Canis lupus familiaris: one gene and its partners. The protein of the gene in region 1 purifies or fractionates together with the protein of each later gene. This does not show direct contact. Links are inferred from orthologs where the notes say so. Each region holds a gene or a part of one and is shown on either strand. Other genes may lie near its edges.

The links. Proteins that work in one complex are often made in the same cells at the same time.
Region 2: the proteins of SUGT1 (region 1) and NOD1 purify together in Homo sapiens (affinity purification with western blotting; 3 studies listed by BioGRID and IntAct, with this or other methods). This does not show direct contact. The link is inferred for Canis lupus familiaris from reciprocal best matches to the Homo sapiens genes SUGT1 and NOD1.
Region 3: the proteins of SUGT1 (region 1) and RNF41 purify together in Homo sapiens (affinity purification with mass spectrometry; 3 studies listed by BioGRID and IntAct, with this or other methods). This does not show direct contact. The link is inferred for Canis lupus familiaris from reciprocal best matches to the Homo sapiens genes SUGT1 and RNF41.

The regions. Positions count from the first base shown.
Region 1 is NC_049243.1:9,668,593-9,673,197, reverse strand, and holds the start of SUGT1 (protein SGT1 homolog), read right to left. Parts: upstream 2,861-4,605; 5' UTR 2,846-2,860; coding exon 2,803-2,845; intron 496-2,802; coding exon 374-495; intron 1-373. UniProt on the Homo sapiens protein: May play a role in ubiquitination and subsequent proteasomal degradation of target proteins.
Region 2 is NC_049235.1:43,318,591-43,323,215, forward strand, and holds the start of NOD1 (nucleotide-binding oligomerization domain-containing protein 1), read right to left. Parts: upstream 3,048-4,625; 5' UTR 2,910-3,047; intron 1-2,909. UniProt on the Homo sapiens protein: Pattern recognition receptor (PRR) that detects bacterial peptidoglycan fragments and other danger signals and thus participates in both innate and adaptive immune responses.
Region 3 is NC_049231.1:895,083-899,527, forward strand, and holds the start of RNF41 (E3 ubiquitin-protein ligase NRDP1), read right to left. Parts: upstream 3,048-4,445; 5' UTR 2,850-3,047; intron 2,822-2,849; exon of another isoform or gene 2,684-2,821; intron 497-2,683; 5' UTR 312-496; intron 1-311. UniProt on the Homo sapiens protein: Acts as E3 ubiquitin-protein ligase and regulates the degradation of target proteins. Polyubiquitinates MYD88. Negatively regulates MYD88-dependent production of pro-inflammatory cytokines.

The DNA of each region.
Region 1 (4,605 bases):
AGAAAGGAAATCTGATCCAAAGTGACAACGGGAATTTTCCTAAAGTTAGAGTTATTATGAAGCCAGGGTTTTGATCCAAGCACTCTGATTCCAGAGCTTGTGTTTTTAAAGTAAACTACCCACAATACAGGGCTCACACCCACGACCCCAAGATCAAGAGTCTCATGTTCTACCAACTGAGCCAGCCAGGTGCCCCCAGAAACCTATGCTCTTAACCACTATTCATACTGGGCCTCAAAAAAGTCTCATAATTCACAAATCTTCTCTCCCTAGTGATTCGAGACACTGTATAGTTTTCCTGACTACCCTGGTTGGCCTCCAGTCTGCTTATGTTCTTAGTATATTTCGTACACCACCCCATTATAATATTTACCTTATATTTTAATAATCTGTCGACTTGTCTTTCTCTCCATTGGACTGCAAACTTCCTCAATGCAGTCTTTTCATCTTTAGATCCTTGGCTCCCAGTACAGAATTCACCACTAACATATATATCTTATGTTGAATCAATGAAAAATGTGAATCAGCTTGATACAAACATTTCCCTTTTAACCCTAACTGGATGGTCTTACATAAGAACATAACATTTTAACTAATGTATTATCAATTATTTTAACTAATGTATTATCAATTTCAAAATAACCAGATGACTCCTGAACAATGAGGTGTGTTAAGGGCACTAGCCCTCACAGCCGAAAATCCACTCTGAGTATAACTTCTGACTCCCCAGTAACTTAAAAGCCTCCTACTGACCAGAAAGAAGCCTTACCAATAACACAATTAACACGTATTTTATGTATTATAAACTATATTCTTACAATAAAGTAAGCTAGAGGGAAAAAATTATGAAAACTGTAAGAAAAACACATTTACAGTACTGCAGGCATCGGGAAAAAAAATCCGTATTAAATAGGCCAATGCAGTTCAAATCCTATGTAAGTAGGCCCACGATGTTCAAGGTCGACTGTGAAAAGGTCACTTCAAGCTTTTTTTTAAGTATATTTATTCATGAGACACAGAGAGAGATGCAGAGACATAGACAGAGGGAGCAGGCTCCCCATGGGGAGCCTGATGTGGGACATGGGGAGCCTGATGTGGGACTCGGGGAGCCTGATGTGGGACTCAATCCCAGGACCTTGGTTTCATGACCTGAGCTGAGCTGAGAGCAAGATGCTCAACCACTGAGTCATCCAGGTGCCCCCACCCCAAGCTTTAAAAATAACTTTTTCAGGTGCCTAGGTAGCTCAGTCCATTAAGCATCTAACTCTTGATTTCTGCTCATTTCATGTTCTTGGGGGTTGTGGGATCCAGCCCCACATTGGGTTCTGTGCTGAGTGTGGAGCCTGCTTAAAATTCTCTCCCGCTCCATCTGCTTCTCCCCTCCATCTTTTCTCTCAAATAAATAAATAATAAAAGGAACACTTTCTCTTACAATCATTCTCCCCACTTCCCAGTTTCTGATTCAGGTTGGTGTGGGTCCTCAGAATTTGCATTTCTAATAAGTTCTCAGGTGATGCTGCTGCAGCTGGTCTGAGAATGATGCTTTTGAGAATTACTTTTCCACAGCACTAGACTAAGAGTCTGGAAACTTATATCCCAGGGGTCCCATTCTGCCTCTACTTGGCTATATACATCTCTATGACAGATCATTTGGATTTCTTTGGGTCTCAGTTTTCTTTTTTTTTAATTTTTTTTTTATTTATTTATGATAGTCACACAGGGAGAGAGAGAGGCAGAGACATAGGCAGAGGGAGAAGCAGGCTCCAAGCACTGGGAGCCTGACATGGGATTCGATCCTGGGTCTCCAGGATTGCGCCCTGGGCCAAAGGCAGGCACCAAACCGCTGCGCCACCCAGGGATCCCGGGTCTCAGTTTTCTTCTGTAAAATGGATGGGTACGTACTAGACCACATGAGCTGTAAGGACTCTGAATAACCTCAGATGGAGTCCAAGAATCTGCATTTCTAATAAATTCCCAGGTGACGTTAATGCTGCTGGTTCAAAAAGCCACACTTTAAGAATCTAGGTACTATAGTAGCTAAGCACATGCCTATTCTATGTAATTTCATTCCTAGCTCTATATATATATATATCCCTCCCCAAAAAAGTGTGCTCACCAAAATACCCGTATAAGTAAATTCAAAGCGGTTTTATTCATACTAGCTAATAACTGGAGGTAAGTCAAATGTCCATTGTTAGAGTTGTGCTATACTTTTACACAATGAAATACTACACAGCAATGAAAAAAACCACTTCACACAACATGGACAGATCTTACATGAGAGCACCAGACTAGTGTGCGTTACTGTTTATGGGAAGTACAAGAACAAGAAAAACTAATGGTGATGGAGATCAGAATGGGAGTCGGCTGGTAGGTAAGGGGAATTATTGGCTGAGAAGCAGCAGGAGGAGGGAGTTAGGATGGAAGTGCTCTCCACCTTGAGCTGCGAGATATATACATATATGGCAGCCTCAGTAGTTGCACACTCAAGATCTGTGTTATTTATACGTTAGCATACATCAAAAAAAGTTTCTTTAAATGAGGAAGATAAGTGACAAAATTCATTACAGGAATTCCCTTTAAAAGCAACCCACATGGGGATCCCTGGGTGGCTCAGTGGTTTAGCACCTGCCTTCAGCCCAGGGTGTGATCCTGGAGTCCCGGGATCCAGCCCCACATCAGGCTCCCTGCATGGAGCCTGTTTCTCCCTCTGCCTGTGTCTCTGCCTCTCTGTGTGTGTGTGTGTGTGTCTCTCTCTCATGAATAAATAAAGTCTTTTAAAAAAAAATAAAAGCAACTCACATAAATTGGATTTCCAAAGACGACACTGGGGTAAGAAGATCATAACAAATGCAGATTCTGAAATACAGCTGTCTAGATGACATAACGAATTGTGAAGAAAGATGTTCACAGTGCCTCCTCTAATACTACTCTATTACCGATCCCAGAAGCCTCACTAGGAAATATCGTAGCACAACTCATGAACCAACCATTTTATTTCAGGGCCTTCATATCTAGATCCAAAGAAACACTCCGACTTATAAAGCCCTCTAGAACCTTAGCCCTGGTTTACTCCCTACCTCATCGCTGACTCCTGTGTCATCCCACTCTTCTTAAACGGGTCTTTTTGCTACTCCTTGTACAAGCCAACGTCATTCCAACATGGGGATCTTTGCCCTGGCTCTTTTTCTGCCTGGAATGCCCTTTAACCAGCGCTCACTCCCCAAGCTTCTGCTCAAATATCATCTCTTCTGAAAGACTCTACTACCCACGTGGCAAATTTCCCTTAAAAGTCCCGGGGGGGGGGGGGGGGGGAGGGAACCTTTCTTGCTTCAAATTGCTAAGCTTACCTACATTGGATTATAACAAGCGAACAGGTTTGCTTTCCTTTCTCCCTCCTGCTTCAAACCAAGAAACCTCTGCCTAAATTCTACAACCAACTCCATCATGTATCCTTAGCTTAGCCTCTCTTTATTATTCGTAATTACTTAAATCTTGCTCTTTTGACTTTTTTTTTTTAAGATTTCATTTATTCATGAGAGACACAGAGAGAGAGGCAGAGACACAGGCAAAAGAAGAAGCAGGCTCCATGCAGGGAACCCGATGTGGGACTCAATTCTGGGTCTCCAGGATCACATCCTGAGCCAAAGGCAGACGGTCAACCACTGAGCCACCCAGGTGTCCATTTTTTTTAAAAGATTTTATTTATTCATGAGACACACAGAGAGACAGAGAGAGAGAGAGAGAGAGGCAGAGACACAGGCAGAGACAGAAGCACGCTTCATGCAGGGAGCCCAACATGGAACTCAATCCTGGGACTCCAGGATCACAATCACACCCTGAGCTGAGGGCAGGTGCTAAACCGCTGAACCCCGCCCCCCCCCCCCCCCCCCCGGGGCTGCCCTCTTTTGACTTTTCTTTATGGCTTTCCAATCTCTCACTTCACACAGCCTTTAAGCCCGTGAAATACATAAACAAGACTTTAGGCCTTAGCAGTCAAGTGTCTTGCACAAGGCACCCCCCCCCAAAATAAATAAATAAATAAATAAGCAAAATGAAATAAAATAAAAAATAAAAACCCTGCTTTGATAAATGAGTGAATAATGAGCAGTAACGGGACATCTGGAAATACCCAGAGACCTACGGGAAAAGAACACCTGGAATGTAAGAACGACAGGGACGATTATAAAATGAAAAAAACAAAACAAAACAAAAAAGCAAAGAAAAAAAAAACAAAAACAATTAACAAATCTCATCAAGCCTAGATTTTCACTTTTTCCACTTCTAGTCACAAATGCCACTTAACAAAAACAAAAAAACAAAAAACAAAATCGGGGAACCTCGGGGGGGGGGGCGGGGAGGGCTCAGTGGTGGAGCGTCTTGCCTTTGGCTCAGGTCGTGACCCCGGGGTCCCGGGATCGAGTCCTGCGTGAGGCTCCCCTGCACGGGGCCTGCTTCTCCCCCTGCCTGCGTCTCTGCCTCTCTTAAATAAAACCTTAAAAAAAAAAAAAAAAAAAAAAAGGAAATCCCTCCAGGACAACTGTGAGTGCCGACTACGCCCCCCGCCAGGGAAGAGAGCAGGTAACTGCCAAGGAAGGAAGCGGA
Region 2 (4,625 bases), on another chromosome or scaffold:
AAACTATAGTTTTCTTTTTTTTTTATTTTTATTTATTTATGATAGTCACACAGAGAGAGAGAGAGAGAGGCAGAGACACAGGCAGAGGGAGAAGCAGGCTCCATGCACCGGGAGCCCGACGTGGGATTCGATCCCGGGTCTCCAGGATCGCGCCCTGGGCCAAAGGCAGGCGTCAAACCGCTGCGCCACCCAGGGATCCCTATAGTTTTCTATAATTTAGAGGAAAAGGACTACTCAGCCAAAGTCCTAAGTGGCACCACTGAGCCACCCAGGTGCCCCGAGCATCTGCCTTTGGCTCAGGGTGTGATCCTGGAGTCCCGGGATCAAGTCCCATATCAGGCTCCCTGCGGGGAGCCTGCTTCCCCCTTTGCCTATGTCTCTGCCTCTCTCTGAGTCTCTCATGAGTAAATAAATCTTTAAAAAAAAAACCATAAATCAATTGAATGGCAGTGTCTACTCACTTCTTATATAAAAGGCAAGTTTGGAAAAAATGCTTGCCCTCAATGAGCATTTGATGCACCAAAGGCTTTTCCTCCGAACAAGTTCAGACTTGTGGATGGATGAAAGGAGGCCCTTTGTGTGGCACACAACTGACTTTGCCCGGACAATAAAAGAAAACAGGACTTCCAGAAACATGCAAAATATCTACAGCTTCTGCATGACAAAAATTCAGCACAAGTACAAATTTTAGCTTCTCTAATTTCATCTTGCCTAAAATCCTCCCCAAAAAGAGAATGGTAAAATAAACCAGTAACTTAAACCTCAAACCCTAGGTTTAGGTCTCAGGTTTTGAAGAAATATTGAACTCTTCTCTTCAGATAAAAAGAAGAATTTGAAAAAAAAAAAAAAAGAAGAAGAATTTGATATCCTCGTGTAAGTAAAAATCAGTGATTGCACATATACCATAAAACACTGATCTTCTTTTTTACATGACATCACTGTTTATGTTACTAATATCTAAACAGTGTTGCTGTTACTGTAAGTGATCCAGATCGTCACTGACAAACACAACAGGTTTCTGGGTGACAGGTTCATCTGGGATGTTGGCATGACAATTGTAGGATCTGAATCCCCCTTCCTCAAATTCCTGACTGTTCTTGGTCATTGAAGAACGGTTCATTGTCCCTAGGCCAAGAGTCAGAGGCAAAACAGGAGCAGCCCAGGTGTTGTGTGGGGACGCTGCCAACAGGAGAGCCACATGTGTGTGCCCACATCAATCCTGAGACCCTATAAACAGCCCAGTTTTCTTGGAAGCCCATTTTTTATATATGTGGCAGTGGGGTGGAGATGTCTCAAGATTAAGGACTGCTTTCTTTTATCAAGAAATTCATTCCCCAGGGCACTTGCGTGGCTCAGATAGTTACACATCTGCCTTCAGCTCAGGTCATGATCTAGGGGTCCTGGGATAGAGCCCTGTGTCTGGCTCCCGGCTCAGCTGGGAGTCTGCTTCTCCTTTTTCCCTCTGCCTCTCTCCCCTGCTTGTGCGTTCTCTCTTTCTCTGTCTCAAATGAATAAATTAAAAATCCTTTTAAAAAAATAAAAAAAAATGCATTCCCATCATTCAGAGTGAGCCATATTCCAGAGCCATCAACTAGCCCTGGGGGCAGGAGGTAGGAGGAACTGGAGGCCGGAATGTCTAGACCTCAAAGCACCCAGAGGCTCAAGGGGCAGGAGAAGAGCTGGGTTACGGAGTATTGAGGGAGACAATTTTGGACAACCCCCATCCACCCCCACATCATGTCTGTACTAAGAAAATTGTCAGACACAAATAACCACCACTCACAGTGCACCTGCCATGTGCCACCTGCCCTGCCAGGCACACGTTATCTCATTTAACTATATTAAGCCCAGGACAGTTAGCATTTCTAGTCCCAGTTTTCAGGTGACTTATCTATGGTCACATATCACAGAAGTGAGAGAATCTGAATTTGGGTCCAGGTTTGATGGGACTCCAAACCTCTGAACTTCTTTCCCCACAAAAATTAAATGTACTCTTCTTAAAACCTTTGAGAGTCCTTTCTTCTACCTCTTGGCTGTTGTTTGTTTCAAATCCAGCTTTTTTTTTTTTTTTTTTTTTCTTTATCTGCCCTGCACATGTGGTAGAAGTCTGTGTCTTGTGCAATGTCCCTGCTTCTAGGTTCGTAGCTACTTGCCCCCAGCGTCTCCCCCAGGGTGAAGAGGGGTCCCTCCTGTGAAATCTGCCCCTCTCAGATATTCGCAGTCGAGGTACCCTTGGCTGGATAGGGCCTAAGCCGGATGGGGGCTTTTAGCAAGGGGGACAAACCCAACCCTGTGGCAAGCACAGCCGGCCTCACCCTTAAAGCAGATCACCCACAAGTGTCAAGGCCTCGAGTTTACTGATTTCCCCCAACTTATTTCAAATGCAACAATGGAGCCATTTTCCAGAAGGCAGAACCAAGCGGGGGTCATAAGGCAGCCCGAGTTTTCACAGCGGTGCCAAAGGCCGTACGAATAGGTGAGGTTCTGAACCCGCAAGTCCCATTCCCCTCGGGGCCTGCCGCCCCGGGGCCGCGCAGCGCTCGGCCCGCCCGCCCGCCCGCCTTCCCTTCCCAACCCTGGGCATCACCTGGGGAATTTAAACGCAATTGAGGCCTGGGTCCCCCCCACCCTCCCCCGGACTCTGATGTAAGACCGGGGCCTTCTAAGCTGCCGGGAGGATTTAGAAAATTCCCCGATTCCCCAAGGATCGATGATCCCGCAGACACTGAAGTTCATCCGTCTGAACTTTTTCTGCATTTCTCCTCCCGGTTCCACCCGGAGCTCTGCCCGGGGAGCTTCGCGCTGCGCCCACAAACCCGCCCCCTCCTCTCTGCGCTCCTCGCTCGCGGCGCCCAGGCCCCTGGGAAACCTCTTCCCGGTGCGAACCACCGCGCGTCGCTGAAACTTACTTGGGTTCGTCCCGTGCAGACCTCGATGCAGCTGAGACCCAGAGCGAGACCCGGAGCGCGGAGACCCCCGGAGCGCGGAGACCCTCGGGGCGCGGAGACCCCCCCCCGGAGCGCGGAGACCCCCCCCGGGAGCGCGGAGACCCCCCCCCCCAAGCGCGGAGACCCGGGAGCGCGGAGACCCTGGGAGCGCGGAGACCGCCCCCCAAGCGCCGAGACCTCGGAGCGCGGAGACAACACCCCCCCCCCCCCCCCGCCAAGCGCAGAGACCCGGGAGCGCGGAGACCCGCCCCCAAGCGCGGAGACCCCCAGAGCGTGGAGACCCCCCCGGGAGCGCGGAGACCTCGGAGCGCAGAGACACCCCCCAAGCGCGGAGACCTCGGAGCGCGGAGACACCCCCCCCAAGCGCAAAGACCGGGAGCGCGGAGAACCCCCCCCAAGCGCGGAGACCCCCGGAGCGTGGAGACCCCCCCGGGAGCGCGGAGACCCCCCCAAGCGCGGAGACCTCGGAGCGCGGAGACCCCCCCCCCAAGCGCGTTGACCCGGGGAGCTCGCGGCGCGGGCGGCGGCGGCGGGAGGCTTGGGGCGGGAGCGGCTGGGCCCCGGCCCGGAACGGGAACTGGCCGGGAGGGCACCGGCGGCCGCGCCCACGCGCCTTAGCTGGCGCTGCGGAGGGGGAGGCGGTGCCAGGCGGTCGAGGCGGGGTCTGCGCTTGGGCCGGGCTGGCGGGAGGTGGGGAGACGCGGGGCGCGGAGAGGGGCGGGGGCGCGAGGGCCGCTGCGCGCGGGGCCGGCTGAGCCCGCGGGAGAGCACGCTCGGAGCGACGCGCTCGGGAACGGTCCTCGCCAGGCGGGCCGCGGCGGCCGAGAGCCCGGGCCAGGCCTCTGCAAAGCACCCCCAGGGGGCACCCGGGTGGCTCAGCGGTCGAGTGGCCGTCGGCTCGGGTCCGGACGCCGGGGTCCCGGGATCGAGTCCCGCGTCGGGCTCCCTGCGAGGGGCCTGCTTGTCCCTCCGCCTGGGTCTCTGCCCCCTCTGTCTGTCTCTCCTGAATAGATAAATAAAATCTTTAAAAATTTTAAAAATAAATTTAAAAAATAAAAGTACCATCCCAGATCCTGCAACCAGAGTCGAAGTCGGTGAAACTCTTGTTAAAATGGAACCCGTGTGCCAGGAGGAAAAGCTTGTCAAAGTAATCAGACTTGTTGCAACAGAGCATTTACTTCGATTTATACTTTTAAAAATCTAAGCTTTTCTTCCTGTTCTTAAATCTGTTCTTGGCTGCACATCTTACACCGTTTACGTGAATCCGTGATTTCCCCCAACCAAATACATTTTCAATAAATTTCCCCAATAAAATATGTATAAACCTTTTAAACGGGGAAAGTCTACATGAGGCATACTGATTCTATCATGTGTCGTTCACACTAAAATGCATTCAGTCTGTGACCGCAAATGCTCAAGAATAAGTTCCTATCAAAGGTTGCCTTCTGAGAAAAGTATGTTCAAACTCAAAAGTAAAACTTTATCAATGTAAAATTGATAAGATACACCAAAATGAAGACAATAAAGATACTAATTCTTTCCATTTACCCTTATATTAACCTCTGGTAGAAAAATTAGAAAGATTCTCTTTTCTTCTAGGATTCTGAATTTTATGTTCCATAACTTTTAAACTCTCATATTTTATATATCCTGTTTCTTTGGCTCCATTCTGAGTAA
Region 3 (4,445 bases), on another chromosome or scaffold:
GTTGTGTAAAAGATACAGAAAACACAATCCTTGTCCTCAAACTAAGGTGTAGGCTTGAGCCTAATGAGTGAGTGCACAAGATACGAAAACACACAAAAAGACATAAAACTAAGCAATTTACCAACAAGTAAAAGTTAATAATTACTGTAAGACATAAATATGCAAAGAAGAACTGGGACTGATGTGGGTTAATCACAGAAAGTTCTATGCAGAAGAATTTTAAGAATCAGGATTTTAAAAGCAGAAGGAACCCAGATAGTCTGAGATGAGACCTGAAGCTTGGAATGGGATTCTGAAACAAGGCTCTTTACCTTCCAAGTGTTGGGGGGTAGGTTCCCTGTTCACAAGGCTCCAACCCCCTGAGGCCTCCACTCAGTGTCACTCAGGAGACGCTCCCAGTAACCCATCTTGTTGGCTATTGTCCGACCGAGTCTTCCTTCCTAGTGACAAGCTCCATCGCCAAGGGGATGGATGTGATGTCACAATCAGGAGCACTCTATTAATAGGAACAAGGAAGAAAAAGGTGAGTCAGGGGAACTACCTCCACCGGGCAGTGAGACTAGACAGACATGGATCTGGCGACTGGTTGAAGAGACGATTTCATTAAGGGCAACACGTTTCAGAGCTGGGGACACAAGACTGCCTTCTAAGGATGGAGATCACTGGCTAAGGAATCTCAGACTCACACACACAATCCAGGAGATTCAAACATAGCTGAGACAGGCAGAGAAAGGGACAAGAAAAAAGGTAAAAAAGAGTTGTTTGAGACAGAGGAAGATTCTCGTATTCAGCGCACACAACCACAAGGAATGTCAATGATTCCAGATCTGTGGCTGTACAATGCAGAGATCAACGAAAGCTTACACGCAGAGTAGAATGCTTTAATGTTTCCCAAAGGCTTTCACAAAAATTACCGAAATCATGTAAAAAGAATTCTAATCCTACCCTCCGCCTGAAAAATACTATTTCATAAGAAGATACTCAAGAATGTTCATACAGGTATGAATCTAGTTTCCAAGTCTGAAAATATTCCTGACAGGATCAGGCTCTAAAAAAGAAGAGGAAGAGGTAATGAAATGGGAAATTACTCCTGAGTGGGCGACTAGGAAGACTAGAGGTATGATTAGGAAGATTAGACTCTCATTGCTAAGAGAATGAGACCAAGTAAAGGGGGACAGGCTTCAGATGAAGTGTGCTGTGAGGTCTACTCAATACAGATGAAGTGTGCTGTGAGGTCTACTCAATACTACTACACGGGAGAATAGTAACTGTTCAAACTCCCTTCCTCCCCATCATATGGCCATCAACAGATTAAGGGCTGTGTTACAAAGCAAAAGGATGATGATAATTTTTATGCATAAAACTGAGACCATTTCTTCTTCTGAGTCTGGTACTCATGCTCATTAGTTTACTATGCTCATCAGCCAAACACATTTAGTGTGGTATTTTCAAACCAGAGAGATAAAGGTGTAATGTCGGACACACTTTCTCTTTGGGGGGTAGGGAGGAAGTTGTTTCTCCCTCACCCATAACACAAGAGGAGTGTAATGCTGCCCTCATTTTGACAACACCCTATTTCCCAACAGCCTGGCATATGCACCTGTACTTCACAAAATGCTTCCAGGAACCACTGTTGGTGGCTCTGCTCAGTCTTCTAGTGACAAGCTCCAGACTCAGCAAGCAAATCTTGCCCATGCTGGAATGCTCCCTTAGCCAGAAGAAAACAGGAGTTTTCAACTAAGAGGAGGACCAGGAGTTAGGAGACCTGGGTTCTGGTCCCAGCTCTGCCAACTGCAAGGCCTTTAAACAAGTCAGTATCTCTTCTGTAGTTTTCAATGTCTTCACCTGACAAGTAGGAAAGATACCTGCCTTTATCTACCTTACATGTCGTCCTGGAAAATCAAAGACATAATAAGTGTGAAGACATACTGAATACAGCTGTGTTTCAGGTAAGGCATTTGTAACAATAGAATGCAAAATAAATTTAGAATACTGGAGGCTAGTGAGGAAATGCTTGAAAGCAGCTTGTTCCTTTTCAATGACCAAGAACCAGCCCCAGACACAAAGTCTGGCTGGACACACAGAGTAGTAACATCATCACATCCCTCAGATTCCTGTCCACTAGTCTACCCCATTCCCATCTGGGGGAAAACTATCAGCCAGCGACACTATCGACTTCTTGCCTAAAACCACCTGTACAGGACCACCACCATCGCAGCCCAGTCCCTTGGGCAAACACTCTCACCTCTCTCGGCTTTCTGCTCCTCCGTCAGCCCCCTCCCCCTTCCCCAGTTTCGCAGAGTGCTGGGTTAGGGCAGGCTCTCTGGTGTGTGAAGCCTGCGAAAAGGGCCCGGTTGCAAAGCCAAGGAAGGGATGTAAGGAATGTAAGATTCCTTCAAGGAGGGGGGCGGGGGGGCGGGGGAAGGAATGGAGGAAGACAAGGCTGCCAAGGACCAGGCACGGGAGAGGAGCCAAGCTCCGCGCGGCGAGGGCGGGGGCTCAGGTTCCACCGCCCCTGCCCAGGCTACCCCCCAACGTCCCCTCCCCTCCCAGCCCGCCGTCACTGCCATTTAAACACCACGTTGTAGCCCCAGGTCCCCTCCTCCCGGTCCTCCCGTCGGCCAGGCCCCCTCCCGCACCCGCCTCCCCTACTCCAAAGCAGCCTCCAGCGCCCCTTCCTCACCTCCGACTCCTCCCTATTCCCGCTCCCTTCCTCCATTTCTCATCTCTGCTCCCGTCCCTTGTCCCGACCTCCGGTATCTCGAGCCCCCGTCCCAACCCCCGCGGGACATCTCCCCCTCCCGTCCCACAGCCTCGTAGGCGGGAGCCGGCGCAGGCGCAGTACGCACCGCCCTGGAAGCGGTCTGGACCGTCCGCACCCCGGCCCGGCTGGAGCGGAGGCCGCGGCGGCCGCGGGAGAGCGCCGGTGCCGGTCCCGGCCTCGGCCTATCCTGGGAGGGGAAGGGGAAGGGGAAGAGGAGGGAGGGTCCCAGCCACTCGCCGCCGTGCGCGGAGGGCCCCTCGCCCCGCCCACCGCTGCTACGTAACCCGGCGGAAGTTCGTCACCAGGCCCCGCCCGCCGCTGCTGCGCATCCCGGCGGAAGCTCGTCACCAAGCCTCGCCTCCTCGCCCAAGTTGGATCTGGACTAGAGGCCGCGAGCGACCAACGAGGAGGCGGGGAGCCTGGCCGGGCCTTCTCTCTCCGCCGAAAATGTTTATGATCCCGACGCGGACTCTGTAGCCATGTGGGAGGGAGGACTCGGTGCTTCCCAGCGCCAGTGTGGGGGCGGAGCCCGATGCGGACTCCCAGGGGGGCTGGACCGGGCGGTGGAGCAGCGTCTAGCCCGCTCTCCTGGGGTTGGCCGGGTGCGAGGTCGCGGCGGGGGCTGGCCTGCTGCGGGGCCGGCCGTCTGCTGTTTCCAGAGCGGTGGCCTCCGTCCCGGAGCCTCCCGACCCAGTGATTCATAGTCGCGGGAGAGGATAGTGTAGTCTACTGGGCGACCACTGGGTGGAGGACGAGGGAGCGGCTCGCCGCAGAGCTCTGATCTGGGGTGCCCACCGGGTGGCTGCCTTGCTCCTAGACGCAGAGTTCCCTGAAACACCCAAGGGGAGGGGCGATAGGATGTCCCTCTTCCTAGGGACACAACACGGTAATTGGGAGCGTGGGCAGGAGAGAACCTGGGACCCGAGGAAAGTCAGGCCGAGCCTAAAGCGCTCCGGACGGTAAGGAATTAATCAAGCCAAGACATTACAATGACATGACCTGCTAGGCTAATCTGATATTAGATAGTATTTGTTATGGATATTCGCTAAACAAATGGTTGTGGTTTGTGTATGTGTAATTGGCTTATACACAACCCTACCGAGCTGGAGTGTTCTGTTGATGTTCTGACAAGTCCCAAAGGGCCTCCTCTGTTAACTCCTCCGGGGGCGGGGAGACCCTGGGCTCTAGGTAGATAAGTGCATTAGGAAGAGGAGAGGGACTAAGGCAAATGCTGTTCTTTGTGCCCCGGGTTCCATTCTTCCAAAAACGCTGAGGCAGCCTCTGGTGTGAAGGCTGCTTTTTCCAAAACCGTTACGAAGCTGGGTGGGGGGGTGCATTAAAGATGACCCCAAGGGACGCCTGGGTGGCTCAGCGGTTGAGCGTCGTCGGTCCGGGGCGTGACCCCGGGGACGCGGGATCGAGTCCTGCTGGAGCCTGCTCCTCCCTCTGCCTGTGCCTCTGCCTCTCATGAATAAATAAAATCTTCACTAAAAAAGAAAAAGAGGGATCCCTGGTGGCGCAGCGGTTTGGCGCCTGCCTTTGGCCCAGGGCGCGATCCTGGAGTCCCGGGATCGAATCCCACGTCGGGCTCCCGGTGCATGGAGCCTGCTTCTCCCTCTGCCTGTGTCTCTGCCTCTCTCTCTCTCTCTGTGTGACTATCATAAATAAATAAAAATTAAAA